Linked DNA regions of Oreochromis niloticus. The protein of the gene in region 4 purifies or fractionates together with the protein of the main gene of each other region. This does not show direct contact. Links are inferred from orthologs where the notes say so. Each region holds a gene or a part of one and is shown on either strand. Other genes may lie near its edges. The genes, in order: UAP56-interacting factor, ranbp2, srsf7a and nxf1a.

Region 1 (7,800 bases), on a different chromosome or scaffold from region 4:
TTCGCTAAAATATGGGACTGCTTTTTCACTTCAGAAGACGATACTATCCTGAAAATAGGTTTTTATTAAGGGAAAAAGCTATCCAAACCTTCCTGCCCTTGTGTGAAAAAGTAATGGACTTGTAGGGATCAAAATATCATGTGGAAGGTTTTAGTCTAAAAAACTAACACATTGTTTCATTAAGAACATCATACTAACAGTCAAACATGGTGGTGGTAGTGTGACGGTCTCGACTGCTTTGCTACTTTAGTGCATGGATGGCTTAATGTAACTGATGGAACCATGAATTCTGCTTTCAATTAGGTCAGGGGTGGGCAACTCCAGGCCTCAAATGCCGGTATCCTGCAGGTTTTAGATCTCACCCTGGGTCAACATACCCGAATCAAATGATTAGTTCATTACCAGGCCTCTGGACAACTTCAAGACATGTTGAGGAGGTAATTTAGCCATTTAAATCAGCTGTGTTAGATCAAGGCCATATCTAAAACCTGCAGGACACTGGCCCTCGAGGCCTGGAGTTTCCTACCCCTGACTTAGGTTCTGCAGCAGGACAGTGATCATAAAGATACCAGAACATTCCACCTCTGAATGGCTCGAAAAATCGTTCTCAGTGTACTGGCATCCTCAAATCTGGACTGAAATCAGACTGAGAAGTTTTGGCACGACCTTAAATGGGCTGTTCCAGCTCAAAGACCCTCCAACGTGGTTGAATTGAAAAAAAACTTAAAAACCTGCAAAGATCTACAGCGATGTGAAAGACTCATTACTAGTGATCACAAACATTTGATTATAGATTTTCCTCCCAGTGGTGGCACAACCAGTTATTAGGTTTAAGGGCCAATTACTTTTTCCACAAACGAGCCAGTTTTTTTTTTTTTTAACAAATAACAAATAATCATCATTTCCAAGCTGCATTTTCTATTCACTCAGGTTATCTCTGTCTAATATTAAAATCTGTTTGATTATCTAATTTAAGTGTAACAAACATGGGACAAAAAAAGAAATCAGGAAGGGTGCAAATACTTAGTCTGTGTATGTCAAATGAGGTGTATATTTGTTGAATTTCACTATGAAAGAGATCAGATTTGGATTTTTATTTTTTATTTTTAAATACACCAGCATTTTGGTGATTAATTGTGACTCAAAAAGAAAATTTCTTTGTCCATTTGATCTTACTATACACACTCTGTAAACTTTCTGTTTGACAGAAAGATTGTTAACCTAAACCTTCCATACTTTCATTATCGGGAACCAAATTATATCCTTGATCCATGTCTGCACTCCCAGAGCTCCAACGCAAAGTGTCTGGTCTCACACATGGGGACACTTTGTGAAAAGTAGGTAGTTTCCTTCAAATTTAGGTTTTTGCCCCACACTGGGGACCACACAGCATCCTGATTTCATGGATGTTGTGGCAGAAAGTAGTAGTTCTTAGCAGAACTTTAAAGCTACTTAGGATGACTTGCAAGCATGTGTGCATATTGTAAAGCGATGCTAACGCAGGAACTTCCCTGACTTTTGTATACCTTAAAACAGGCAAAATGATTTCTACCAATCGCTGCAGCGATTATGTGAAATAACTAAAATGAACTAAAACATTCCCGAACTTTCAAAGTGTGCTACCTCCTGAGCACGATATCCCCCTTGAGAAACACTGGAACAGCATCTAAACAGGTCAAACAACCACAGGGGACGCAGCTAACGAAGAAAGTTTGCAGTTCCTGGACAACACGCCAGAGATGCTGATGTCTGTTGCCAGGCGACAAGATGAGGAAAAATAGCTACCTCTGGTTGTGATGAAAGTGAGGCACATCACTTCTCTAAAGTGGACCTACTGGTACATTCAGCAAGCTAGACTGACTTTAGGAAAACATAATAAATGGAACCAAATTTTAAGAGATTTATATATTTTTGTCCAGTTTAGAAGTACTTTGAATATGATTTACAACTAATTCTAGCAGAACCTAAGTTGATGAAGTATTCCAACATTGCTTTATGAAGGTGTAGCGTCATTTTCCAACATGGCTCCATTAAAGCTGTCTGTGTTTAAGGTCTGGTTTCTCAGTGTTTTGCCCCCTAATAAGGCTTCAAAAGCTGGAGTGATTCCCACACTTTAATAAAACCACAACACGGTCTGTGCTTGCCAGTTAAGATGGCAGGGCAGTATTATGGACTATAGTTCATGTCTCCTTCAGTGCAGTCCTCCAGTACCTGGTTGAATGCTGATCTGTTGAGTGTGCCGGCTCGCTTCAGCAGAGCCGCTGGTCTCCTGGCTGCCAGTCCTGTGATGACCCCCTGACCCCGTCTCCGAGCCACTATCGGTGGGACCTTTCTGTTTCTCAATTTGGGACCTCCTCCTCGGGGAATGCCACCTCCTGGTAAGTATTGGAATAGCGACATTAGATAAACACACTTGTTTCAACTGGGGTGAAAAAGAGAAGCATACCTATGAAGCTAATAATAACTGAGAAAACGTAAGCGAACACACCTCTCTGGGCTGGTCCTGCAGTCCTCTGTGAAACTCCCTTTCCTTGGATTAAGCGGCCTTTCTTCTTCACTGGTCGGCGGCTCACATTGGCCTGTCTCCTTCTTAATTGTTGCTCTTTTTTGTTCAGCCGAATAATGTCATCTGTTAAAATCATCACACGAGCAGTGATCAACAACAGCGAGCCCTCTGACAAGTGCTGCCTATCTAGCCTAGCTAGCTACTGGCGACCTCCCAGTAGTTAGGTGCTAATATTATTAGCTTGTAGTCTATTTTAGTAACGTTGCTCATAGCTGTGTGAGGGCCTTACCCAAGGACATGTCGACTTTATCCGGAATAGGTGTCCTTTTCCCTCGGTCTGCTTTGAAATCCCCCATGTTCATACTTCAAACCACAGTGAACAACCCAAGTGGACACAGAAATATAGTTAGCAGCCGAGCTAGCTATCCGCTCCTTTCCTGTATACGCTAGAACAGACACGAACCGCCTCTGCCGCGCATGCCCCGTGAAGAGGTCACAGACATGCACTGTGGGAAGTGTATTTCAATTCAATGAAAACACAGCGTTACAAAACCCGAACCAGCGCGCTCATGTAAGTGGTTGTGTAAGGGAAAACGCCACGGGTTTCAGACGCCTGGCTGCTGCTGTCACGACGGCTACTCAGTCTGTTGTTTATTCGTTTAATTTCACGTTTTGTTGTCCACTCGAGCGGAGCCTGCATCATTTGAAGCTTCCCACCCTGTATGCTGCACTGTGTTTGGAGGAGGTATGTGTCAGTAGTAGGAATCGCTATAAACACGTTTAATTGAGCTTCCCCGTTGACTCAGTTCTTGTTGTTTGCATTGTCGCTTTGTTCATATGAAGTTTTCCAGTCTGTAACTGTTTTGCTCACGCCTGCAAAAACTCTGAATTTTGAGTTTCGCTGTTTCTATACGATTTCCTGCAGCACATCACCTTTCTCTGCACCAGGGCGCTTCTTAAAGCTTCTCCCTCACCACCACCAGAGGCCCAGCAGCCCCGCACTCTTCTTCCTGACCTGTTTCTTCAGCTGCCAGCTCACCATGTCAGGCACGAAACGCAAGGCATCTTCTGCAGCTGCTGGCGAGGAGCACCGTGCCAAGCAGCAGAAGCTGGCTCCCGTCAAGGAGGAGAAGAAGGAGAAAGTTGGGGGCTGGCTGCAGAGTCTTGTGCAGCAGCAGAGATCAGAGAAGAAAGACATGAAGTTCAACAAAAAGCGCCTGCGTTTTCTGTCTGATAATGAAAAGATAAAGCAGGGCTCAGAGGGTGTCCTCTACTGGATGTTAAGAGATCAGAGAGTACAAGGTAACCCATCAAAGCAGAGCCATCAGTGCAGCAATGGCGCAGCCTCTGTTTGGTTTGCATTTTCTCACTGTCTCTTCTCATGACGTATGTGCACATTCCTTTTGTGTGTTTAGATAACTGGGCACTGATCCATGCCCAGCGGCTTGCCGTGAAGGAGAACCTCCCTCTGCATGTCTGTTTCTGTTTGGTAGTGCCCAAATCAGAGCTGTCTACTCTGAGACATTACAGCTTCATGCTGAAGGGGCTGGAAGAAGTTGCAAAGGTACAAACTTCAAAATGAACATATAGTAAATATAATACTATTCCTTTAAAGTAAATACTGCACAGAGGGTGAGCTCTCTGAGTGCTTTTTGTTTTACATGTTTAATTTAAAATGCATTGCATTATAAACAGAGCTTAATAAAAGGGACGTTGTGATTGAAACTATGAGAAATATTTCATACATTAGTTGTGCAGTACTACACCCGACCAGAGGAATCACTCTTGTTTGAGTCTAGCTGTAGTTGCAGGTATTACGTGGTGGGACATCATCAGTGAACCTGAACTAACAGCCCAGCCTCACTCTTGCTCTTCTGTCCATATAACAGGAATGTGAACAGTTAAACATCCAGTTCCACTTGCTGCACGGCGCTCCGGGGAAAGTTCTCCCCGGCTTTGTGTCCAACCGCAGCTTTGGGGCCGTGGTGACTGACTTCTCTCCTATCAGAGAGCCGCTGCAGTGGTTGGAGGACGTCAAAAAGAAACTTCCCAAAGACATTCCCTTCATACAGGTATGAAAAAACCCCTCACTTTCTGAGATCCAATTTGCAGGAGGTGTGTGCTGATAGGATGCTCTGTATTCTGGTTATTGCCTGTCCCCAGGCTGTTTTCTCTCTTTATTTGTTCCCCTGATTCCAAAGTAATAGGTATGAAAACTGATGCCGCAGACCTCATTCTCATTTCATGCGTATTGACTTTGTTTTTCCTATCATTATTTCTTGAACACTCTATTCTCCTTTTATAGGTTGATGCCCACAATATTGTTCCCTGCTGGGTAGCTTCACCTAAACTCGAGTACTCCGCTCGGACGATCAGAGGAAAAATTACCAATCTGTTATCAGAGTTCCTCACTGATTTTCCCCTGGTAGACGCACACCCCCACACTGCTACGAGAACCGCCAAAGTAAGTGCTCGAGAAACAGTGAAGTGAATAAATGTTGAATGTACTGAGAATAAAAGAGGCGTATTTATAATTTATAGTGAGTTCAAAGACTCTTGGATCAGTTGAGAAACAATTACAATTTATCTTCTGGAGGTCATGAAATTATTCATTGCTTTTGGGTTGTTGTTCTAAAATCAATTGCGAGGCAAGTAAGCTGTCAGGGAGGCTCATCGACGGGGAGCCTGGAAGTCGAGCTGCTGCCAGAAAGCACATACTTTTACCCTTCAACTCTATCCTCACTTCCACACATTATTTATTGATGACTCAGTATAAACTGGATTTTTTTTTTTTTAACTGTCCAAAAGTTAAAACTCTCTTTTCCCCTTGTACTGGTTATTAAAGCTGCAGGGGTGCTTTTGCTCCAGGGTTGAGATTGATATGCTACACACGGTTTGACCCCCCCACACTTGATATTTTGAGCTGGATTTAAAAAAAAAAAAAAAAAAAACTTTCTCCTTTGCTTTTGAAGTTGTCAGATCTCTGTAGCACCACAGTGTATATTTTAACTCATCACTCTCAGCTGTGACCTCTACTGAGCCTTTCTCCTTTCTTGCTTCTTTACCTCACAGGGAGTAGACTGGGACAAAACCCTCGCCTCCCTGGATGTTGACAGAACTGTAAAAGAGCCAGAATGGGCCAAGCCGGGCACCAAACCAGGGATGGACATGCTGGAGTCCTTCATTGATGTACGACTTAAACTGTTTGGTAGCCAACGCAACGACCCGAACGCTCCCGCCCTGAGCCAGCTTTCCCCCTGGCTCCGCTTTGGTCAGTATTCTGTGAGAAGCTTTCTTAAGGACATGACTCTCTAATATTATTCATATGCTCTAGATAGTTTATTAGTCCTGCTAATTCTGCTTTTGTCCTGCACTTGTCCAGTTTCCTCAAAATGTCTTAAGGACACACTGCACAAGATATGACTAGTTTGAAACTAAAAGCTCTTTAGGAATCATGTTGCTGGTGCAAAGATACTATTTTTTTTATGCCTGTCAAACAATGTCAGTATTGGCATTTTTTTGTAGATTTAACAAAATAAATGGGAACAAATGTGTTTTCTGACAGGCTGCTAGTAGCAAAGTGCCTAAAGATACAATTTAAAGTTGGTTCCTTACTAAGTTGTCTGTTATGTGCAGACAAAACACTGGTTCATCCCTTGAGTTAGGAGGCTTTTTTATGCTTGGGTGAGTCACAGTCAGTGTTAAGTGGCATAACAAAGCAGGACTAGGGGTGGGTTTTGATTATCGATTTATCAATTAAAATCGATTCTAGCCTGCATAACGTGATATCAGTTCATTAAAATCCTGAATCAATTTTTAAATATAAATTTATTTTGCCCGAAACGCCAGAATCTCAGGTTAAACCTCACAAAATTTCAACAACCACCAAACAGCTAAAACAGTAAATGAGAGCAGGTACACGGATTCTGCACTAAGATGTAAACACAAAGCGCGGACCCGCCGACGGATCAGAATCAGTGAGCTGTCGCCTTTCTCACCCGACGGCACGGACACGGTCGGGGCTGAAAGCCGACAGCTCTCTGATTCTGATGTGTCGGCGGGTCCGCGCTTTGTGTTTCCGTCTGTTTTGCGCTAGATTCTGAAGCTGCAGGTTTTATCTCTCTCCAAACAATATTGACTGAACCAGCAGCAAAAGAAGATCCGAACTACACTCCGCATTTCGCTTCACATAAACATCGTCATGAATTCCTCTTAGTTTTCCTGTTTTGCTTCCACCACGATAAAATCACACTTCCTGCAGAGCTCGTTGTCTTTCTCAGTGCACTTCAAGAACAGTTTCGCGTCTAAAAATCTCTGTTTTCTGCATTATTTGCTTGCTTATTACGCACAAGTCTACCATTGTTTACAGCGCTGTCGGCCGCTGTATTTTTCCTTTTACTTACTTCCGACAAGAAAGCCTCATTTCTGCCGTTCGATAGGCTACTGGACAAATGTAAACTTTTTAAAATTATGCAAAATTGCACAACGCTTGGCTGCGTCTCTAATAAAACCTCTGTAACTTTGCTCTGCATCACTTCAGCAGCATCAGCTAATGTTCATGTGCTGATTAATGGTTTTCTTTCGATTTTGATCTACTGCAGAATCTTTTTAAGGTCATCTGCTATAAAATCCCAGGCCAGGAAAATCTCCTTCATGTTTTTCTGTGTTTTATCCTCAGTCACTTTGACACAAAGGCATCTGCTGTGATGCTTACACCTTTGATAAAGTCTCGCAACTGTCAGCTTTCTTTTTATAGACAAAAAAAATATGGAAATGTACTGATGCGTGATCAGAATTATAATATTTCTGACTGTCTGAGGCAAAATTTCCCCGATTCGAAACAAATCGAATCGAATCGATTCGGGACCTTGTGAATCGGAATCCAATCGATTCTAGAAATCAGTGACGATACCCAGCCCTACTCAGGACTAAAAATGAGTAAAAGAAAAGGAAAAGAAAAACTTTGAAAGAACTTCAGGAAACTTAGAGAACTTTTGCACAGGACCACCTTAAAAATAACAAGAAAATCTGGCTACTTGGAATCAAAATATGAATACATGAGAGGTGGCTTAAGACTTTTGTACAGTACATCTGGAGAAGAATTCTTAATAGCATCTTGGTGTTCTGTTCATTGTGTTCATCGCGCTGTAATCCTCTTCAAGAAAACCTTGACTGCCTTCTTTGTAGATCTCCTTGAGACTTTTGATAATGTGGGTGAGTTCAGAGTGTTGCTTTTATAGATGGTTTAAATTCCCCTAAATTATGTCCCTAAATGATAAAAGTGTCCTACACAC
Region 2 (7,861 bases), on a different chromosome or scaffold from region 4:
TCCAAGGAACTTATGTGCTTTGGGATCCCTCTCCTGGACCTTGAGATAGTCTGACACATGCCTAGGAAAAGCATGAAAGACAGGAATTACAAACAATATAGCAACACACAAGCATTGGGTCAAACAATGGAGAGGCTCACATGCTTACCTTTTTGCAAGATCATATTCCTTTGCTTCAAAGTACAATTTAGCAAATAAAAACCCTTTGACTGGCTTCTGTGGAGAGAAAAAAAAAATATGTGGACCAGCATGAGGAAATGGATTCATCTTGTTATGATAGTGAGAAGATGCAATTACACATGTCCTGCAGAGTTATCTGGCTTAGTGGGATTTAAATACTTACCAGTACTCAGTACCTGCTTAGTAACTGTACCACAACCCAAAGGCCCATTTTTAGCCATAAAAAAAAAAAATCCTGCATATGGACCTGCCAATGCCTAGTTAAATCACAGCCGTCTATAATGGTTCAAGTAGATTGTTAACTGGGAATACATCAGAATAATGAAAGATATTTTTGTTCATTATCCAGTTTTGATCAAGTGATCAGCTCAAAAAAAACAACAACAACAACAAAAAAACCCCCAAAACATCTTTTATCCTGAGGAATTAACTAAATCGTAGTTTTGGGAAATTATTCCTCCCAGAGGCTAGTTAGTAACATATTAGCCATCCGGATTACAGCATTACCCATTGTCAGATTTACTGCTAGCTTCTCCTACCCACCACACTACAACTATTATCACTGACTTTTTCAGTGTCAGGTGAACAACGTAGAATAAGTTGATAGCAGGTAGTGCTCTTCTGGCTATTCCACAGACCCATTTAAAATACAAAGAGGGATCACGCTTTCCAAACCTTAGCGTCAAAACAGTTTACCTCCCCCTCTATGCACTATTGACTCTTTGGCTTCTTTAAAAAAAAAAAAAAAAAAAAAAAGAAGAAGAAGAAGAAGAAGAAAAAAAACAGCTGAAAACTCATCTATTTAGACAGGCATTTGGGTAATGCTCTTGTGCAATATGTTGTTTTTATTTGATATATTTTTAAATTCCCTGTAAAGCACTTTTTAAAACTAGATTCCTGTCTTAAAAAGTCCTATGTAAATAAATATTTCCTTACAAATCACACCAACATTTAATTTCTGTATGTTTGTTTAGGAATGATTTAACTGATGATAATACAGGTTTAAGCTCTGAACAGCATGACACCCAATCTTGTGATTTAATTCTTTAGGTAAATGTCTCCAGACTACACACATTACTGTACACAACAAAATGCACAAGGAGGCATTCCACAGGTATATGTGTAGAAGTGTGAATCTATTGTCAAACAAAACTACATTTTTGGCTCTACTGGTGCAACCCTACACATATAATTGGGCTAGACTGTTAATCTTACAATACCAAGGTTTCTCCTGACTCAAAACACACCTCTGGGAGGGTGACTGTGCATGCAAGTACAACTGCTCCACAAATAATTAAGACAGAGTCTGTGTTGCCTTACTTTTTCTATACATATTTCTGTACATTGTTACCTGTATATATACGAACCTCGTTTGCTTATGTATATAGGACCACTTTGTGTCTTCCTTTTATATTCCCCTTGGTCTAAGAGCTGTAACACCCAAATTTATCATCCGTGGAATATTAAAGGTTTATTCTATTCTAGAGGTCTGTGCATTTTTATTAATTACTTTTGATCACTAGCGACACAAAGTGTATTCTAAGCTTGAGTACATTAAACTACACACCACATCAATGAAAAACCACAATCCTGATGACTTTACTTTGATGTAAGACCAAAACATCGTTGGAATTACGCAAAAACAAAACCCTGACTAGGGTAAAGCAACTTGAGAGCATGGTTAGGACCGTTGACCACATAGCACCACATTTACTCAAGTAATTGACTGATCGACTATCATATTATGCTGCCATGTTGTAGATATGTATAAGCAATTAAACCAACATCTTCAGCTGCAACATTAAAAGGATATCTACAAAACAAATTTTCATGATCTCATAATAACACTAACATATATTTCTGCATCATTTGTCCTTTCAGTATACTTTCGAGCTAATCGCTATCAGTTAAGCATCTTTCAGACTGTTGAGCAATGCTACTTTTCACATAATACCTCTGGTACAGATAAGCCTGAATTCTGATGCATTCAAGTTTTTCTTACATTGTATTTATTTCTCATTAAATATTCTGATTTTCTGTGGGTGTAACTGTTTCCCCCCTGACATCCGATCCAAATAAATAATAATTAAAAAGAACAAAAGCAAATCAAGAAACCTTGGAACTCTGCCTGATTAACAGACAAGTCTGTTTGCAATTAAACTAAAACCACCAGTTTTTGAACAGAGTTAGGGTTGCTGCTCCTGATACGATCAAGCAACGAGCATTTTTAATTGTTGTCTGAACTGAAACCTAGCTTTTCCAGAGAAATGAAACTTGCACAACCTATCCAACTAGCTTTGTCTCGCTATCGTGGCTAACTAGCATAGCTGATTAGCTGGCGCTGTTCAAGGGATCCCATGCCGCGCATTTTCCCGAGTATAAAGGGGAGGACACGACGGGGCGTCATCACGCCGGCCGGTTAGCTACAGTCTTTAAGACTATCTGGGGGACGGGGGTTACACAGAGAACGACATATGAGTCAACCGAAATACCGTCATCGTAGTTAAAAAAGCAACGAGTGTTCATTGAACATGTGTACAGGTTGTACCTCATACCGGCTGATGTGACATGATGGCAGCAGCATGCTAACATTAGCCTCGGCGGGCTTAACTTACCTCTTTGAGTGAGGGAGAGGAACTCTGTACTGAGGAAACGTAACAGTCCACGTCAGCCTTACTTCGTCGCATAGCTTCCAAGGTCAGGGGCTTCTACAGCGGCTGAATGTGAGACATAGAAAACCAGAAATTCACTAAATATCTAAAACAAAACTGACGGTAACATCAGCTCGCCTGACGTTAACTCCCCATGATGATATTGCGCAGTCTCAATGCCGTCAAATGGCAGCTGTCACGTGACTTCTTAACCAATGAGAACAAGAATTCAGTTTAACGCAGACTGACGCATTTCAGTTTGAAGGGTTCTGTTACAAATACCTGAAAATCCTAATTTCTCCAACAATTAAGCCTTAATCCTTCATTTGATAAATATTTTGTTACATAAATTAAATATCTTTAAACCCTGTATATGTGTAACCAATAGTATTGACTTAAACAAATCATGCTATATCATGCCCAGTTTTATAGGCTGATATCTTTGCAAATTTTTCCATGTCTGTTTCTGTTGATAAGCTTCAGTCAAGGAGTTTTTTTAAAAAACATTTTTTAGTCAGCGGTTTATTCCAAAGTGTTCTCATCAAAACCTCTGCACACCTGAATGAGTAACAGTTGTCAGAGGGAAAGCTGTGCTATGCAATGCCCATTTGAACTTTATCAGCTACACAGACATTCATCATCTATTATGAACTGAGCATCAGAATGGAGAAATGATTTGGGTGATTTTGCATGTGACGTGGTTGTTGGTGCCAGATGGAGTCGACGAGTATGATTTCAGAAACTGATGATCTACTAGGATTTCTTTACACATAACCACATCTAGGATTTACTAACAATAGTCAGAAAAAGAAAAAGTATCCAGTGAGCGGCAGTTTTCTGGGTGAGAATGACTTTTTGATGCCAGAGGTCAGAGGAGACTGGTCAGACTGCTTTGAGCTGACAAGAAGGCAACAGTAAATCAAACAATCACCTGTTATAACCAAGGTTTGCAGAAGAGCATTTCTGAATCCACAACCTGCTGAACTTTGAAGCAGATGGGCTACAGTAGCAGAAAACCACACTGAGTGCCACTCCTAAGAAGAGGAAACTGAAGCTACAATTCACACAGGCTCAACAAAATTGTAGAACAGAAGACTGAAACTGTTGCCTGGTCTGTTGAGTTTTGATTTTTGCTACAACATTCAGATGGTAGAGTCAGAATTTGGTGTAAAATATATGAAAGCATGGATCTGTCAAGGAGAGAGATTACTGGTTTGATCCCAGGAGAAGACACAACTTGTTCAGCATGATTTAATTGTTTTAATTCTTCAATGTTCCATTGACATTAAAAAAGATTCTGATTCTTGTGGTGCTGTAATGTAATTATAGGCACACTTTGGGCCATTTAGTACCAACTCAGTATTGCTGAAATGCAGCAGTCTTGAGTATTGTTGCTAATCATGTCCGTGCACCTCTCTTCTGATGGTTACTTTCAGTAGCAAAACTCTCCTTGTCACAAAGCTCAAATAATCTCTTTGCTTGCTTTCTCGAACATGACAGTGAATTCACTGCACTCAAATGGCGTCCACAGTCACCAGATCTCAATCCAATAGAGCGCATTTGGGATGTGTTGGAACAGGAGAACAAATCAGCAGCATCTGCGTGATGCTATCATGTCAGTACTACTCAGCAGCTTGTAAAAGGGCCACCGCAGCAGTTAATTCTACATATTTGATTTGGTAGATTTTTTGTTTTCTCCTGTGATCAAACCAGTAATCTCTTATTTATTGAAAATAAATAAGCCATCTTTTCAACATGGACCAAAATCTCACAGAAATGTTTCCAGCACTTTATTGAATTCATCCCACAGAGAATTAGGGCAGTGCTGAAGGCAAAAGGAGGTAGAATATAAATGAAAATACTCCAGCTGGTGTACTCTGAAGATATGTATTAATAAAACTGATGTTCTTTTGTCTGTAAGTATGTATCATCTTGGATGTTGCCTTTCTTTAGTTGATACTGTGCACTGATTAATCTTCCTGTATTTTTTATCTTTAACTTTATTCCCAAAAGTTTTATATTCTGCATTGTATAAACTTACAGCATAATTCTAGTAATAAATATTTATTGTACAGGTTTATGTTTTGAACCGGTATTTTAATAGTCAAACATGTTGCAGTTGTATTTCTAATTGTTTTCTGTTAGCTGAATGTGAGTGAGAGTTAGCTAACATCTGGATATAGCCAACAATTTTGTCTTGAACTCTATTGATTTGTGCTCTTAATAACTTCTGAAGTTAGATGGATGCTGTTTCAGATTATGGTTGTCATATTGACTATCCTGCAGATGCTAATGGCTGTTTAGTGTTGCACACATGTGTATAATGTCCATTAGTAGTCCTCTGATGTTGGGATATTTTGAGTCACTTCATATGTGTGTGTATATGATAATGTGGAGCTGCTAATATACTTGATGAAGCTCAAAATCAAGCATGTTCCCATTTAACGTGGACCCGAATGCAACATATGTGAAATTTTGGAGTGTCATTAAACATTATGCAACACTTGTGAATCCTGAGCCTGCTGCTGGTTTCACGTTACACTTTGAGAATGGTAAGAAGCTGTAAACCAAATAAATCATTACACACACACCGGTAGCATTGACATATGTGTTTATTCCGATGAAGTGTCAGAATGACTTTAAATATAATAAGAAACAACTTCCCAAATTTCAAGTTAAGAACATGCACTTTGGTGTGCCAACATGAATAAATCTGCTCACAAACATTGCAATGATGATATCCAGTATCAGAGCAGTATCTGTTTGCACAGAGTCATCTCAGTCCATCAGAGTAGTAAAGTATCAAATAAAACCATGCACTGAACTATTTGTGGCTCGAGGTGCCGAAGTTCTGCCTCACAACAATCAGCCCAGCGGATAGTTTTACTTCTGTATGACATAGAGAAAGTTGTGCCATCTGCACGGAAATGCACAGCAGTAACATACACTTCATAATGATAAAATAGTGGAATGTGTTTATCTATAGAGCTTGTATTTTAAGCTAAGCTTTGTGATAAAATGGAGGTCATGTGAAGCATTCTGCAAGAATGAGACCAGTTTGGCTTTCTTTCCTAAGTGGGTCTGAGCCCCGAGGAAGTCGGTACACCTCCCTAAGAGGATCACTTTCCCTGGATTACAAACAACAGAGGAAACGTTCAAATGTTCAACATCAATCCCATATCCGGTCTCTGTACATGCCACAAGCCGTCATGTTGTAACACACACTGAGTTTGCAGTAACCATTCAATAAATCCTGTGGCTCAGATGCTTGTTATGATCAATATTTGTTGACAGCACATCGGGACGGGGGAGGGATTGTTTTATAGAACACTGACAGGTAACAGTTATTCACTCACATGTATTTAATAAATCTAAATTTCGCCCTCGGCACTTTGGCTGTATTAGATTAATTCAGATTGTAAACGCAAAAAAATGCTGAATAAATACCAATTTGCACAGAGATCATGCCACACAAAGATGCATAGCACATACAGTAACAAGGCAATCCAACACTGCAGGTGATGGTCGAGTCCGTTGTGTAATATTAAAATGTAGGTCCAAAAAACAAACAAAAAAAAGGCAGATAAAATACTTATTATGCATAATATTAATGGAAATAAACACTACTAATACATAAAATGATACAAGTTGGAAATATTTGAGGTTATTTACACATTTGGGACATTTTCTTTCTTTGGGCTTACTTGATTGTTATAGAAATGAAGCAGTAATATTTTTCAATAAAGGTTTTTTGGCATCACAAGACAAGGTGGCGGCAAAGCTTTTAAGTCATCATATTACCTCTGGCTTTCTATGTACTCTTAAAACTCATATGTCACTTTTTTAAATACAGGAAATTAGCAGGCATGTGTAAAACACACAGTGGAGCAATTTTGCAAAAATGGTACAAGGCACAAAGTTAAAGCTGTCTGACCGAAAATGTGACTGCGGAGCTGCCGGCTGCAGGCACATGAAATTGAAAGTGCAATGCTTTCTAGCTATAACCAACCTAAATGCAACATAGCAGTTGCAAAACACACAAATTCTTTATTTTAATTCTGGGCTTGTACATGGCCACCTCATGGTCTCATCTATCTTTCCCTCTCCAGCTGCTCCACTGTGTTTTTACTTCCTTGCAACAGTTTCAGACAGCTTTTTCAGTCTCTTCTTCAGCTCCAGAGGGAACTTCTCATAGCACTTCTTACACACCGGCTTCATGTCAAACTCCACAAACTTGTTCCTGTGGAAGAAAGAGAAACAGTTGTATTTCAGAAGACTGGCCAGTGATCAGTAGAGGATATTGTTTCCAGGTGAGAGGATTTTGTAACATATCATGATATGTGTAGCATCACTGTAATGATCTCATTCCTTCAGAAGCCCTTCTGACAAGTCTCAGACCTACTGAGACTCGAGATTACTTTTGAAATCTAATTTTTTGAATACATTTTTAATTCCATCATAAAAACTCTGATTCCTGCGAACATTGGACGTAGCAACGTCTGAATTTCGAATGTTATTTTTCAGACCTTTATTTCAAAACCCCAAATCCTGGACAAAGATGCACACCTTCCCATGCGTGTTTCTGGTAGGGTGCTGCAATTAATCATATTTTTATCTTTAAAGACAATACACAAGAAGAAGACAGCTGTCTTAACTTAAGACTTAAATTTGGATACTGATACCAGGGATTCTAAATATCACATTATCCTCTGCATTCAAAGTATCATGTCACATTTGACTTCTGACCTAATATTTACATTTCACATCTGCCTTTCTTTCAACTTGACCTCATCTTTTCTCACCCTTTATAACAAAAACTGACGCCCTACAAGGCTGAGACATGATCAAGATGAGAGAAACGCACATCCCTCTTTTAATAATTGCAGTCTCAACGTTAAATGAAGTGATTCTGATCATTGTTTTTCAAGCAGCCCTAATTTATGTCTGTTTTAGCACTGGGATTCATGAGCATTCATAATGCCTTTTGACGAATAACAATTCCCTGAATGAACAGAATCTTGCCTGTGTTT
Region 3 (7,477 bases), on a different chromosome or scaffold from region 4:
GCCCAGGTCACCGACGTACACTTTACAGTCAGTGGCCCGAGACGAGCTACGGGAGGATGAGTAGTAGGACATTTTCTCTCACCTGCAGGGAGATGGTAAATATATTTAAGACGAGGATCATAGTGAGAAGAATACATTTTTTTTTTTTTTTTTTAAATCTTCCTCTACATTTGGGAAATATAGGAAAGGTTGGAATTTCTAGAATATACTTTTCTGCCAGATGCTACAATTAGTGCATGACTGCTGCGTGGAAGTGTGTCAGAATCTTTTTTTCTTTTTTTAAAATTTTTTTTTAAACTTCAGGTTACTGAGAGCAGCCAGAGCGCAATAGCTCAACTTTTCTTTTACATGGGTGGGGTGTCTGAAGACAAAGTCAATGACAAATTGAAGGACTTAATGGCAAGTTCTAAAAGCCGCCTTTTGCTTGTACCCCTCCTTGTCCTGTAGGCTGTTGGGGGGAGGACAGATTATCAACAACCGTATTCATGTGAGTGACACAAGGGGAAACATCCCTTTGTGTTTCATGTGAATGCATCATTAAATCCTCAGGCGTGGTCCTGCCCTTTCAAAAATTTACACTTAAATCTAAAGGTGAGGTTTTACACCTGGCTTTATAATTACCTACATGTAGAGATCAGGGTTGATGAATCAGCAACTGTTTTTTTTTTTTACTCTCCTACCATCTGGGTATCTTCTTTTAGTTGTCTCTAATGCTTAGCTCTCTTATCTAGTTTGGTTAATACTGCCAATATACAGACAGCTGGAAAAGTAATTATGAACCCATGACCCTTACAGCGAGGGGGATCTGGTAGCTCTGGTATATTTTTGCTGGCATGGTTTGGAACTATAAAGGGTCCCTGCAGACACTTTTGAATGAACCAGCTGTATCTAAACTGGCAGGGAAAAAAAAAAAAAAAACCTGTATTGGAGCACACCAAGGTTGTTTGAAGGGACAGTGAGATGTTAAAGTGCCATAATGGATCTGCAATCTTACAGCGCGCCATAAGCATCCTACACCTGTAAACAAAGATCAATAACCTCCTTTTAATTTTAAAGTCAAATTCAACCATTTCCGATTCAAACGTATTCCCTGTGTATCCTGTAACCCTGGCAACTGATCACGTGTGAAATTAAACTTGCCATCAAGCTCTGCAGAAGTACTTCCCACATCACCACATTTAAAAATGTTTAATGCAGTAGGCCCTCATGTGGTTGGCCTGACACTGTTCCACCTATTAGTCATAAATCCCACAGATTTTAGAAAAGGTTAGAGCTGAACAGGATTTCCCTTTTCTGGAAAGGCAGAAAAACTCAGTGACACTTTGATGGGCTCAGGAGAAAGTTATACTATACTAGTTTTGATACTGCAGACAGTTATCTTGTTGCCATTTCTTGGAGAAAAAGGTTGCCTTATCCTGTGGCGACCCTACACCTCTTGGGCGGATAATTGCTAATTTTAAAAACATGTCCAGTGACATCCATCTGTCGTGTTCTTGCTGAGCTAAGCAGCTCTCCACGCTTGGTTAAATGCCAATTTCCTAAAGTGAAATTCTAACAAAACAGAAACTCTTATCACTGCTCTAGATATTTCCATCCCAACAATCGTAGCCTTGGGTTTCCAGGTGCTACTACTACTCGTTAAGATGTGTTATTTCTAAGATGGAAATGATGCAAACTGGGGCGATCGTGGCTCAAGAGTTGGGAGCTCGCCTTGCAATCGGAAGATTGCCGGTTTGAGCCCCGGTTTGGACAGTCTCGGTCGTTGTGTCCTTGGGCAAGACACTTCACCCGTTGCCTACTGGTGGTGGTCAGAGGGCCCGGTGGCGCCAGTGTCTGGCAGCCTCGCCTCTGTCAGTGGGCCCCAGGGTGGCTGTGGCTACAACGTAGCTTACCATCACCAGTGTGTGAATGTGTGCGTGAATGGGTGGATGACTGGATGTGTAAAGCGCTTTGGGGTCCTTAGGGACTAGTAAAGTGCTATACAAATACAGGCCATTTACCATTTAACTGTTCATGCTTTTACATTTTTTGTAAATTTTAAAGCTTTGAAAAGCAAAGCACCCAGTACATTAATGCCTCCTACCCTTTCAAAAACGTACAGATCAGAAATTTGGCATACTGGCTACATAAAGGCTTTGTTTTATTGATTCTGAGATGGATTAAAAACCGCTTAAAAATCCCATTCACACAGCCATTGGGATGATTCTGGGTCTGACTTCCGTTGTTCATGTCCGTTTCATCTCGTCTTCTTTTGTATCAGGTACTTAAAAGATAAACTTTATCCATTAACGCTTTTACAAAGGTCATCTTTTACACGCAGGTACGACGCTCGTCATTTATTAACCGGCCCGGCAGCTTTTTGAAGTTCACTACATCTATATATCTGATAACGGCCAGGCCCCGAGGGCCTCCGATCCGGCTGGATTAAACTATATTCGCTGATCGATCTGTGTAACTCAGCGGTGTCTTATACAATACGATCGTTTGTCTCCCGCGTGTTTTTAAGCGAACACCGCCGGGTATCCGTTCAGGAAACCGGCGCTAACCTCCGTGTGCGTCTCACAGACGGAAGGCCACGCCACTTCCAGTTCAACAACACACTTTTAAACATCAACTTTATGCACGCAAATAAACTAATCGGCTACAAGTAAAACAGAAAAAGCAGAAATTGTTGAGTTTGGTGTATGCGTGCGAGCAGTTATTTTCGGAATTACTCGAGGCCTTGGTCCGCGCTTGCCTATAAACAATGGCGGTAGCACGCGTTAGCCCGGTCTTACCTTCGTCCGATGATTTCTGATTCCGCTCCTAAGACGAACTTCAGCCGCGTCAAACTGAAGCCAGACGTCTTTTCTTCACAGTTAAATTTGATTTCTGCGATTTAAACTCCTTACAAAGCCGAACAGACGATCATCAGGGGCGCTTCCACATGGCTCTGCCGCAAGACGAACGGCTACAAAAGCAAAAGAAACCTACCACCACCGCAAAGCGACTACCGCAGCTGCGCACTGTGACTTCAACAGCGAAGCCGGAAACGTCCGGGGAATATTTTCAAAACAAAACGACCGACATGAAGAATTACCACAGCAAGAATTTCCCACTTTAAGTCCCAAAGCAGAAAAGCTGATGTACTTGTAACTGCTACATTTCTTAATGACTACAACAATTGGCTTCATATTAACTAAGCATGTGTATTGGTTTCATAAGTAGTCAGTATCTCTCTAATATTATCTTGTAGTTTTGCTTGCATTTCCTTAATTTAGTTTAATTTTAACCCTGAATTTTCCAAAAAGCCCCCTGATGCAACCCTCTGGAATCACAGATCGTTTGTCTACTTTAAACAAACACACAAACAAAAATTTTAAAATGTACTGCTGATATAATAAAAGGATATGTCATATCCTTATTTATATCTCCTGTCAAATTTTTGGAAACTAAAATTGTTTTAAAGATTATGAATAATAACATTGACAGTTACTAAATCTCTCCAAAATTAATTTAATTCACAGTTAATCCAAGATTTATCCTAATGGTAGAACACGACACTAGAAACAGTAGGTTCATCAAGAGCATGATAAAGCTTTCTTTTTGAAATCTAAACATAAAACCTCCTGTTTAGACAAACAGTTTTAATTTTATTAAAAAGAACAAACAAAAACAATGTTGTAAATTGATGTTTGTTTTTTAATGTCCCCTTGTGCTGATGTAACAGATCAACTTTAACAGACAAGCTGACCAGATCCTGTCTTTATTCTATCAGTAAATGCATCCCTGATATAAAAGACAGGTTCATTTCCTAACCATGTGGTGGAAAGTCAAGAGATTTCAAACTTATTTTACATTGTGGGCCATTTACAGCCCATGTTGGTCTTAAGTAAGCTGGACCATTGAAACTAGCCTGTGACTCAGTAGCTTAACTGCACAATCAATCTTTAGGATATCTTCATATAAGAAAAATAAAAAAAAGTGCAATTTCCACACTGTGCATCTCATTTTTTCTGCACGATGAAGAAATGCAGGTGCAGTTACTGAAAATCATTCAGCAACTCTTTGGTCTTAAATTGTCAGAAATAAATGTATAAATTATATTATTCTGGTAGCTCACTGACCAAACTCACTGAATTAAATTAACATCCAAGGATCTAGCATCCACATATGGGGACATCACATTTTGGGTTGTCTAGACCACAATACTAAATTTTGCTCTTTCAAATGGCTTTTTAAATGACGCATATTGCTCAAGGGGGCACAACTGTTTTTGTACACAGGAAAAAATGCTGCTGTGTTCAGACACCAAATAAAGAGTTTTGCACATCATTACTTAATTCTGGCTTTATAGTGTTCGATAGAACCACATAAAGCCAAATAGCAAAGAGAAATTAAAACTGCATGCCATGAAAGAGTTCAGGCTTTAGGATTTTAATTAAGCTTTACTTCTTCCTACTCCGTTTTGAACACGTTATTATATATTATTTATTATGATTATTCCGTTTAGGATGTGAGTCACCACAAGAGCCAAGGTGTTAAAAGGTGTTTTTAATCCTGGGGTCAACAGGTGAAACACAGCCTCAGATAGCTTCAATAGCTATCTGATTGGGATAACCACATTTTAAGAGCTTTCTTTCTGTGTGTGTTCCTTTACTTTACCTTTTGTCTTAGAGGGAACGTTTTCTGCCCAGTGGTGTAGTTCAAGTTTCAAGTTTTATTGTCATGTACAGATAAACAGTGTAGCCACATTTACCCATAATGAAATTCTTTGGCTCGTGCTCCTCAGCTTTACATAAGCATATAGAAGTGTACAGTTAAATTAAGAAGAAAACAACAAAAGTATTAAATATTTAGAGAATTTAAGACAAGTTGGTATTTACAGTTTGTGCAAAACTTGTGCAATGAGCATTTAAGTGGCATTAGTTGATGTGACAGTGTGCAGAGTCCTGTAATTGTAGTGAGTGTGTGATGGTGTGTATAGAATGTCAGCAGTTAAAAGGCCTGATGGCTTGTGGGTAAAAACTGTCTCTGTGTCTGGTAGTGTGGGTCTGCATGCTCTTGAACTGCCTGCCGGACGGCAGGAGTGTGAAAAGTCTGTGGGTGGGGTGTCTGGGATCAGAGAGGATCCGCTGCGACTTGCTCATGCAGCACTGTCTATAGAGATCCTGCATGGCTGGTAGTTCAGGCCTGGTGATGCGCTGTGCTGATCTCTAAAATTAGAAATATCCTGTCTCAGAGTGATGCTGAAAAACTAGTTCATGCATTTATTACTTCCAGGCTGGACTACTGTCATTCATTATTATCAGGATGTCCTAAAAACTCGCTGAGAAGCCTTCAGCTGATCCAAAATGCTGCAGCAAGGGTACTGACAGGGACTAGAAAGAGAGAGCATATTTCTCCTGTTTTGGCTTCCCTTCATTGGCTTCCTGTTAAATCCAGAATTGAATTCAAAATCCTGCTCCTCACATACAAGGTCTTAAATAATCAGGCCCCATCTTATCTTAATGACCTTGTAGTACCATATCACCCTATTAGAGCACTTCGCTCTCGCACTGCAGGCTTACTTCTTGTTCCTAGAGTATTTAAAAGTAGAATGGGAGGGAGAGCCTTCAGTTTTCAGGCCCCTCTTCTGTGGAACCAGCTTCCAGTTTGGATTCAGGAGACAGACACTATCTCTACTTTCAAGATTAGGCTTCAAACTTTCCTTTTTGCTAAAGCATATAGTTAGGGCTGGACCAGGTGACCCTGAATCCTCCCTTAGTTATGCTGCAATAGACGTAGGCTGCCGGAGGACTCTCATGATGCATTGAGTTTTTCCTTTCCAGTCACCTTTCTCACTCACTATGTGCTAATAGACCTCTCTGCATCGAATCATATCTGTTATTAATCTCTGTCTCTCTTCCACAGCATGTCTTTATCCTGTTTTCCTTCTCTCACCCCAACCGGTCACAGCAGATGGCCGCCCCTCCCTGAGCCTGGTTCTGCCGGAGGTTTCTTCCTGTTAAAAGGGAGTTTTTCCTTCCCACTGTCGCCAAAGTGTTTGCTCATAGGGGGTCATATGATTGTTGGGTTTTTCTCTGTATCTTTTATTGTAGGATCTACTGTACAATATAAAGCGGCATGAGGCTACTGTTGTTGTGATTTGGCGCTATATAAATAAAACTGAATTGAATTGAATTAAATTGAACACCTGTCAAAAAACAAACAAATAAACCTTTTATGTGCCATATTACAATTATTAATAAATAATCTCAAAGTACAGTCAAAGGTCAAAGTCAAATAAACAACCCTCAGTATCACAGAGTTTTACTGGCCCATGTACAGTTTTATTGGCTTGTGAAAAAACACGCAATGTAATCTGACTAACACATTATTTTATAATATTTCAATTTAAATCTGAAAAAATGTTATGAAAACATTTTGAAATAAATAATGTCTACTACACGCATCATGCCCCTTTAGCCTCATGTAAAATAGGACGGCTGCCTTTAGCTATCAGCAAGGTGTTTAATTTAACTAGAGATGGACCGATCCGATATTACGTATCGTATCGGTCCGATACTGACGTAAATTACTGGATCGGATATCGGAGGGAAATAAAAAAATGTAATCCAATCCATTAAATATCAAAAGAGCACCTCAAAAAACTTGCGACATGGCGTAACTCGGCTCATAACCGTAGTACGTCGGAGCAGTGTGAGTCACGTGATAGAGCGGCTGTGTGTATTTGTAGCCTCGCTAGCAATCCGGCATTTCATCTCCTAGGACAGGGGTCTGCAACCTTTAACACCCAAAGAGCCACTTGGACCCGGTTTCCACGCAAAAGAAAACACTGGGAGCCGCAAATACTTTTTGAAATCTAAAATGAAGATAACACTGTATATATTGTTTTTTTACCTTTGTGCTTTGTGTGAACAACTAAAGTAAGTAAGTAAAGTTTATTTATTAAGTGCTTTTCACAGACAGGCAGTCACAAAGCGCTGTACACAAATATTAAAATAAACAATACAATCAATAGACATTATACACAATGTAAAAGATCAAATGTAAATAATGTAAAGAATATAAAATACGTAGATCAACAAAAGGCTTGTTTGAACAGAAAAGTTTTTAACTGCTTTTTAAAAGAATCCACAGAGCAACTAAGGTGTGTTGCTTATGAAATCCATGAAGTGCTACAGAGAAAATTACATTTTATTTATGTAATCAACACATTTTGAACTCTTAAAGAAATATAACAAAAGGAAAGACACCCAGCTGAACTAAAATGATCCATGTAGCAAACAAAAACTGTTGTGAGCCGCCACCCTTATATCGCCTTTGGGCTTTTGGAGCCTTGACCTGACTTTTAAAAAGTAATTGGAAAAAAAGCACTATGCTGCTAAAAAAAAAAAAAAAAAAAAAGATATTTGCAAAATTCTGCCTAAATATCTATTTTACCTTGTTAATGTGTGTGGCGGGGCGTGGTCTGCAGCGCCGCTGCATGGGAGTC
Region 4 (7,887 bases):
GGTAAACATGTGTCCAAAAGGTCACAAAATGACACCTCCGAGATGCCTTCGACATATTTTTACCTCCGTGAACCATGAAATCGGTTCTTCTGACCTCTCTCCTCACGACAAAGTCTCTAAGATCTGTGGAAAGATCGTTAAAAGTGCAGTAAGTTTAAAGCTGCAATGAACGTGGCTTCTTACCATTGTAGTAATGACCGCCGTCCGCCATATTTCTCCAATAGTGTTGGATAACAATCACAGCCCAGAGTGAAACAAAAAACAACAATGCTACTAGTGGTGGTTATTTTCCTTGTTTCACGGCACTCAAAGCCAAGGCTGTCGGAGAAACTCCAACATCCCGGGTGGACCAGCGGAAACAAAGGTGACCGCGACGTGACTGTCGCCTTGTATCTAGCAGCTTAGCTTAGCTTCCCCTGCCGAGCCCAAACGAGAAGACGAAGCCGGAAACACAACTGGGTTCTCTTCCGGGGCAAGAAAAGGGAGCGGACAGCTGAAACAAACTACGGTGGGATTATGGTCGAGTAAAAAACAAAAAAAACATGCAATGTACAAATCAGGCTTTGCTAGCGTTAGCTTCGACCTAGTTTTGCGTATATGAGCAAAAATTATAGCGCGAAGCTTGATGTAGGATATCCGACCATTTAAATCATATTACAGCCAATCATAAACACACGAACCTCTTTAAAAGGCTCACCAACTTCTGTATTTCCACAAAGATGGGGGATAAAACACAGACAGCTGTCTTTTAAGTTAGCCAACGGGCCGATCTGTTGTTGTTTTTTTCAAAGCTGCGCCAGTATGCAAATGTATTTAAAACAAATCTACAGCGGTATCAAAGGGTATATAAAATGGGGTTATCTTATTTAGCAAGCTAAACGTTAGTGAAAAGTACCAAATTTAACTTAACGCCCACACTTATACACACTGTTTCTTGTTTATTATGAGCAGGTGCAATTGTAGCGAAACAAACCTCACCTGAGATTACCCCTGAGTTAACACTGTTCAGAGAAGCTGTGTGTATGTTTGTTTTTTTTTCCTGTAGGTGCATTTTTGATGTACTGGATAAGGAAAGCTACTGGAATTCTTCCATATCTCACACATTAACACTACATGCCTCCCATCATGTTAACATATTATTTACCACCTGTACTGTGTCATTGAGCCACTTTAATGTCGTCTTATAATACTATGCAAAAGTCGTGAAGCAGCCCTGATCTTTATATTTTCCTAGGAAAAATAGGAAGTCAGCATTTGGTCTTACCGCACTTATTCTTAAACATAGCCCGATCCCAATAGTAATTTCTTTAAGTGGTCCTCGGGAATAGTTCTTCAGCCTTCTTGAATAATATTCAAAGCTCTTTGTTTGATGTTGGCTGTCTTTTGTTCTGTTCTCTGTCAAGATGATCACTGCTTCAATAATTCCGCGCTAAGCACTCTGGGGAGGCCAGTCCATGATTGATAGTGTTCCACTGTGTTTTTTTATATGCTGGATCTCACTCCTGACCACCTCTGTACAAGTGGATGATTATTTGAACCAAACATTTCATATTTGGATTCATCACTCAATAAGCCATGTTGCCACTGATTTCCACTCCAGTTCTTTTGTAATTTGGCACACCTCAGCCTTTTCTGTATTATGTGTTTTTGGACAGGCTGCTGATAACAAAATGATGGATTCTTTGCAAAGTTGTCTGTTATGAGCAGAGGAAACACTGACTCATCCCTTGAGTTTTGGTTTGTTTTTATACTTGAATGAATCATTGGTCAGTGTTAAATGGCTCAACACACAAAAAAATCTGAAAATGGTCAGGTACAAGGATTGGACTGAAAATGAGTGAGAAAGTAGCCAATGTTGAAAGAAAATTTTAATGAGGCTTTTAGAAGTCCTAGTGAAATATTGTTTAAGACCAAAATATATATTTAAAAAAACATCAAAATGAAGGCTAAATAAATTAGGGGTGGCTCAAGACTTTTACACAGCTCTATACATTTGCTGTCTGTCATCTCGGTTGTGGGCAAAAGACTTGCAACGGACAAATAAAGGCTATCTCATCTCATCTTCCTACATTTATTAAATAGTTATTAATTCTATTTATTTTACTTTTTTGAATTTGGAATAATTATTTTTGTATGATATACTTATTTTGCTCATTTTTTCAACTTATTTTTTGTCTAATTATAATATTTTTGTCATAACATATTACTTTTCAGTAGGCCTACTACTGTAATTATTGTTACAGTATTTTATTAATTATTATAATTTCTGTTGCTTCTAACTTTTAGCTGGTCTAACAGTGTTTAACATAATTTTTAAAGATAAACTGGATCTTATCTTACTGACAGGCATTTTGGATATTTTTCCAACAGACAGCAGGCACCACAAACATCCACTAAAACATGGCCTTCATGAAGGGCAGATTTACTAAAGAGATGGTTACTTTTGTCTTCATGATGAACTCGAAACTAAACGTATATTAACTCGTGATGTATGTATATTACAATACAAGGTAAAATAAGACTCAAATGATCTTATAACTAAAATCTTCTATTGATTTCTAAGACTTCTTAATCTATCTCTTCTAAAAACTATATTCGTTAAATTTGAAAATAATACTTTCAACATCATGTAACACCAAGACCTTTGATAAAAACAGACTCACATTCATTTAGATGTGTCATTTCCTAAACCTACAGAAGTTTTTATTCTAATTTCAGCGCTGCACAAATCATATCTCAGTATGTTGTTTTGACCAGCTGTCAGTAATCCTCTAAATAACTGGAAAGTTCCCGTGACATGTGCACAAAAGACTGACTTGTAAAAAGTAAGAAAAAAAAAAACCCAGTTGATATTAATGACTCACTTCTATTGTTTGTGCCACTGAACACCAAGCATAAAACCAGGACCTCCCATAAGTGGAATGCAGCCATTATCGGTACTCATTATCTATTAATATCTACAGCGACAGGGCAAATGATCTGCTGTGAGAAATGCCTGTGACAGAGCACTTTCAAGGCAGGAAGGTGCAGCTGGAAGCAATAACAATAATGAGGTCCCAATAAGCCCTGACAGTGAACCAGCACGATTTCTTAATACTACCAGAAATGTCACAGAATGTCATAACAAGCTCTTAATATTTTAATTTTTGGAATTGTCCGGAGTTGCTTACTTTTTATTTATTTTTGTACAAACAGTGCACTTTAATATAGCCTATCAGGATTAAAAAAGGAGTATAATTTGACACTATTTCACTCAAAGGAACTTTAGGATAGGCTCAGCTGTACAATCTGTGTTTTATCACAAATCGTGACCATCCAGGTGGTTCTTTTGCCTAAGTAACCAAACTGCAACTGAATATATATTTAATTAATATAAAAAATATATGCATTAAAAATATTAGCCTGAAGGCTTCCGTTAGCATCACACCAACTAAATTCTCTGACCAGGTAAACAATAGCTACAGCTTCCTCCTCGGTAGCACGCTTATTTATTTTTAAATATTCAACGTTCAGGCAATATCTTTCACAATGTCTGTTTAAAACACGAGGCATAGGCAGGTGTAAGCGATTAGACGGTAATGTAAACCCAGGCTAAACGAAGCCGAGAGAATAATGGGAGTCAGACTTACCATCATTCACCACATGTGTCACCACGGCCAGGTTGGGGTAGCTCCTCTGAAACATGACCACTTAGTCCTCTCAAGACCACTTAATCTCCCAGTAAAACTTACTTTCTCCTTGAAAAACTCCTTTTCACAACAGCACCAGATTCTTTGTCAGCCTTCTTGAGCGAAATTTGAAGTTTTTTCTTTTTGGGCAACTTTGTGAGCAGAAGCTAAGGCTAGCTTGCAGCTAGCAGCTACCGTTCACGTTGGCTGCGTATCCTGCCAGGCCAAGTTTCAATATTTACCACTAATTTTTTTTTTTTTTTACCACCTTATTGCTTTTTTCCATAAAAGTACAGAAAACCTGTCGTTTTAGCTCCTGTCAGTCGGTCTCTCCCGCTCACTTTTCTCCTGATCCTCCAACAACACGGCGCCACCTGGCGAAACGAAGCGTCTGACTACTGCAGCCTGAACGCTTAAACTGCCACAATATTAGCATACAAAAAATATATTTAGGCATATGTAAGATTTTGTACTTTTTTATGGCATTTTTAAAAATAGATATTTGGCTTAAATAGTTTTAATATTAACAAAGTAATTAACTTAATTTAATTCAGGCATCTATTTGTCAATCATACACAAATTATTATTAGGTTGTTAAACAATAACAAAAGGGGAAAAAATTAATTTTTCTGCTGTATTTCCTGTTGTTAACTAAAAAAAAAAAATCCAAATTTAGTCATTGTCCTTTTTAACAATAGTCAGTGATAACAGCTCCAAGACATTATTGCAAACTTCTGCATCTTAATTTGTGGTCTCTCTTTTAGAATTGTCACATTTTAATAAGCCAAATGTGTTTTCAATAGATGAGATGGAGCCTTTAATTACTAAAGCTATAAATTTTCATCTTGACAGTCTACAACCACTAAAATGCTAATTATGATGTCTTAATGTTAGTGTAATATTGTCTCTTGGGCTAGATATTCCTATTTTTCTAAACTTTCGAACACAAAAATGTACTTGAATTTAGCTGATATAGATATTAAAGTGCATAAATCTGTTGAAACCCTAACCCTTGCTCTGAGTCTTAACACTTTGCTTTTGGAGAAAAGAAAAACAGGAATTTAAAAAGTAAAGATAGTCTGATTACTTTGTTATCCTCTGACGGACAGTATCAGTGAGAAACAAAAACATATTGTGATAGCCGAGGGTTCGGATCACCGATGATGTGTTAGACCTCACAGGGTTAAGAATTGTAATTGTTTTACTGCTTACTTTTCAGTTATTTATTATTTGACTTACTTTAAATTAAACACTCAGCATTATTTTAACAATACTTCAGATTTGCACAAATCATATCATTCAGTCTTCTTCTTTCGGCTGCTCCCTTTAGGGATTGCTGCATCTCACTCAACCTTTGCGTCCTCATCTTTCACACCACCCTCCTACATTAATATTTTCCTCCAATTTTTTTCTGCTAACCCTCCTCTGCACATGTCCAAATCATGTCAGCCCTGCCTCTATAACTTTGTCTCTCTGATGTTCTCATTTCTAATCCTGTCCACCCTTCAGCTCTGCCACCTCCAGCTGCACCTCCTGTATTTTTGTCAGCGCCAGTGTCTCACTCCCATCTTGTAAACCTTCCTTTTCACTCTCACTGTTCTCTTTCTGTCACAAATCAGCCCTGACACTCATCTCCACCCACTCCACTCTGCCTGGACTCTCTCCTCTCTTGTGCCCCATCTGTTGCTTTGGATGGTTGACCCGAGATATTTAAACATCCACCTTCACCGCCTCTGTTCCTTGCAGCTTCACTTTTACACCTGTTTTCACCTCTCCAAGCTCTCTTCGGCCTGCCTCCTTCTCTCACTTCAGATCATAATGTGTAAGAGGTCAGGCAGGAGTCTCTGTGGACTCCTGCCTGACCTCATCAGTTCACCTGCCCATCACCACATCAAACAAGAAGGGACTCCGAGCCAATCCCTCCCCCACCTTAAACTCATCCGTCACTTCAGTTGAACACTTCACCACTGCCTCATGCAGTGTAATACATATATATGCTTTTTGGCTGCACTAATCCATCTCACTGAAATATTTTATTCAACCTGCTTTTTGCAATGATCGAATGGATTTGACTGCCCTGAGATTTCAGCGGTTAAACTCTCACTGCTATTTAGCATTTTATGTATTTATTTACTTTTTTGCATATCATTGTCTTTCTATTTGGACTTGGATGTCTGCAACTCATTGGCCTGTATTTGTATAGCGCTTTACTAGTCCCTAAGGACCCCAAAGCGCTTTACACAACCAGTCATCCACCCATTCACACACTGGTGATGGCAAGCTACATTGTAGCCACAGCTGCCCTAGGGCGCACTGACAGAGGCGAGGCTGCCGGACACTGGCGCCACCGGGCCCTCTGACCACCACCAGCAGGCCACGGGTGAAGTGTCTTGCCCAAGGACACAACAACCGAGACTGTCCAATCCAGGGCTCGAACCAGCAACCTTCCGATTACAAGGCGAACTCCCAACTCTTGAGCCAGGATCGCCCTGCATTTTATGTAAAATGATGATAATAGTGACACGGATATATAAAAACTCAACAAAAAGAAGCATTCTTATTTTAATTTTTATATATGTGAGGTTATTTATAGCCTATAAAACTGTGAAAAACATTTCAGCTGCATCATGTGTAAGTAATCTAAATACAAACAGTAGAATAATACAATACAAACATTGTGGCTGTGTTTTCTTCATCAGTATAGCTTAATCTGTACTTAACCCATGTTTTTTACACATACTGTCTTAAAAAAAGATAGAGCACGAGGCTGTTCAGCCTATGTGCGCATAATGAGATACCTTAAATGAGCTTATGTTGCAACAAAGGCGAGCTGTTTTAGTTTATGCAGACCAACCAAATTAAAACAAACAAGACAGAAGCATTTGTAAACAGATCTCCAGCAGAGTCATTCCCAACCCATGCCTCAGGTACGCCCCTGATCTGTAGATCAGATCAGATGTTCCTTGGATTGTCCGTCTTTTGCGAATGAGAAAACAAAAAGTTCTTTGTAACACAGTAGCTTTAACTGTCAGAGTATGTACATACCGGATGCACAACCACATATCTATGGATTTTTGGTACACTGAAGTCCCTTGTTCCTCTTCCTTAGCCCCTGAAGACACAATCTCCATTAACAAATCAAGTCTCTTCCAGCGAATGAAACCATTCCAAGTGTAACACCAGTCGATTCGTCCATCTCATCCACTTACAATTGTGTAACGACTGTCAAAAATGCACATTCACGGGCTTATTTGCTCCTCCTCACAGCTCTCCTCCTGCTGCCATGAGGCCACGCTGATGGCCTGGGCTAAAGATGTGACGAGAGAGGACAGACCGATGAGGTAGCCATCCTCCCTGCTACCTTCAGACCACGGGACGTTGTGTCGGAGCTCCCGCGAGTCAGGCAGAGGCGTCGTCTTTCCGAAGTCTATCATCCATACACTGGCCTTGCTGTGGTCGTGGACAAAGAGAAGCGAGCTGCCAATCACCTGATCGATTTAAAAAACATAAAGGTATTGTAAGAGTTGCTATGATGAATTCATGTGTTTTTTATTTATCGCACAATTGAACAAGATTCATCTCTACATGTAGACCAACCTCATGAGTTCTGAAAAATGGCGAATTCTTTAGTGCGTCACTCAGGGCCAGGAGTCTGGAGTGGTATGCTCTCTGAGAACACACATGGGTGGAGATGTTTAGCAACAGCAAATGGTGAAGCTATGATAAATAAAACGTTAAATGGGATCTATTATGCTTTTCCTTGTTTTTACTGTTACAACAGTGAATGCTCATCTTAGACATGGCCAAAGCTTTCAGATAACGAGGTCAGTGTATGTGCAGCCAGTTGGGCTGTAGGCTGCTCTAAGCACTCAGCGTCACCATCCCTGGGTCTCTTCACGGTTCTGAGTTTTTAGAGTTTTAGTTTCATTTTGGGTTTAAGTATGCTTTAGGTTGGAGTTGTTTCTCATTTTGCTTGAGTTACTTTGTGTTTGCCTGTTTATGAGATTTTCAAGTTTACTTATTTTATATTTTGACTTTTTATTACAGTCTTCCGTTCTTGCTCACCACCTGGTTTTTGTTTATTCCCATCTTGCCCGTGTTCCTTGTGTCGTGTTGTTAAGTCTCCACTTCTGTGTTTGATGCTCTCTCTTTAGTTGCATCCTATAATATTTTAATAGTTGTGTGTCTGTGTGCCCTCCCATGTGGTGTTGTTCTGATT

The links.
Region 1: the proteins of nxf1a (region 4) and UAP56-interacting factor purify together in Homo sapiens (affinity purification with western blotting; 3 studies listed by BioGRID and IntAct, with this or other methods). This does not show direct contact. The link is inferred for Oreochromis niloticus from reciprocal best matches to the Homo sapiens genes NXF1 and FYTTD1.
Region 2: the proteins of nxf1a (region 4) and ranbp2 purify together in Homo sapiens (co-immunoprecipitation; 5 studies listed by BioGRID and IntAct, with this or other methods). This does not show direct contact. The link is inferred for Oreochromis niloticus from reciprocal best matches to the Homo sapiens genes NXF1 and RANBP2.
Region 3: the proteins of nxf1a (region 4) and srsf7a purify together in Homo sapiens (affinity purification with western blotting; 3 studies listed by BioGRID and IntAct, with this or other methods). This does not show direct contact. The link is inferred for Oreochromis niloticus from reciprocal best matches to the Homo sapiens genes NXF1 and SRSF7.

What each region holds. Positions count from the first base shown.
Region 1 is NC_031982.2:9,983,536-9,991,335, forward strand, and holds the start of UAP56-interacting factor, read right to left. Parts: upstream 3,003-7,800; 5' UTR 2,869-3,002; coding exon 2,796-2,868; intron 2,630-2,795; coding exon 2,489-2,629; intron 2,376-2,488; coding exon 2,212-2,375; intron 1-2,211. Other genes in the region: cpdp (CPD photolyase), read left to right, coding at 3,229-3,251, 3,432-3,808, 3,922-4,070, 4,396-4,578, 4,812-4,970, 5,579-5,777. UniProt on the Homo sapiens protein: Required for mRNA export from the nucleus to the cytoplasm. Acts as an adapter that uses the DDX39B/UAP56-NFX1 pathway to ensure efficient mRNA export and delivering to the nuclear pore.
Region 2 is NC_031987.2:11,384,811-11,392,671, forward strand, and holds the start of ranbp2 (E3 SUMO-protein ligase RanBP2), read right to left. Parts: upstream 3,019-7,861; 5' UTR 2,868-3,018; coding exon 2,796-2,867; intron 217-2,795; coding exon 149-216; intron 62-148; coding exon 1-61. UniProt on the Homo sapiens protein: E3 SUMO-protein ligase which facilitates SUMO1 and SUMO2 conjugation by UBE2I. Involved in transport factor (Ran-GTP, karyopherin)-mediated protein import via the F-G repeat-containing domain which acts as a docking site for substrates.
Region 3 is NC_031979.2:36,107,951-36,115,427, forward strand, and holds the start of srsf7a (serine and arginine rich splicing factor 7a), read right to left. Parts: upstream 3,001-7,477; 5' UTR 2,778-3,000; intron 83-2,777; 5' UTR 73-82; coding exon 1-72.
Region 4 is NC_031966.2:20,671,797-20,679,683, forward strand, and holds the start of nxf1a (nuclear RNA export factor 1), read right to left. Parts: upstream 3,003-7,887; 5' UTR 2,932-3,002; coding exon 2,865-2,931; intron 1,299-2,864; exon of another isoform or gene 1,284-1,298; coding exon of another isoform or gene 1,265-1,283; intron 509-1,264; exon of another isoform or gene 212-508; coding exon of another isoform or gene 184-211; intron 124-183; coding exon 64-123; intron 1-63. Other genes in the region: si:ch73-22a13.3 (inositol-trisphosphate 3-kinase A), read right to left, coding at 6,908-7,156, 7,266-7,337.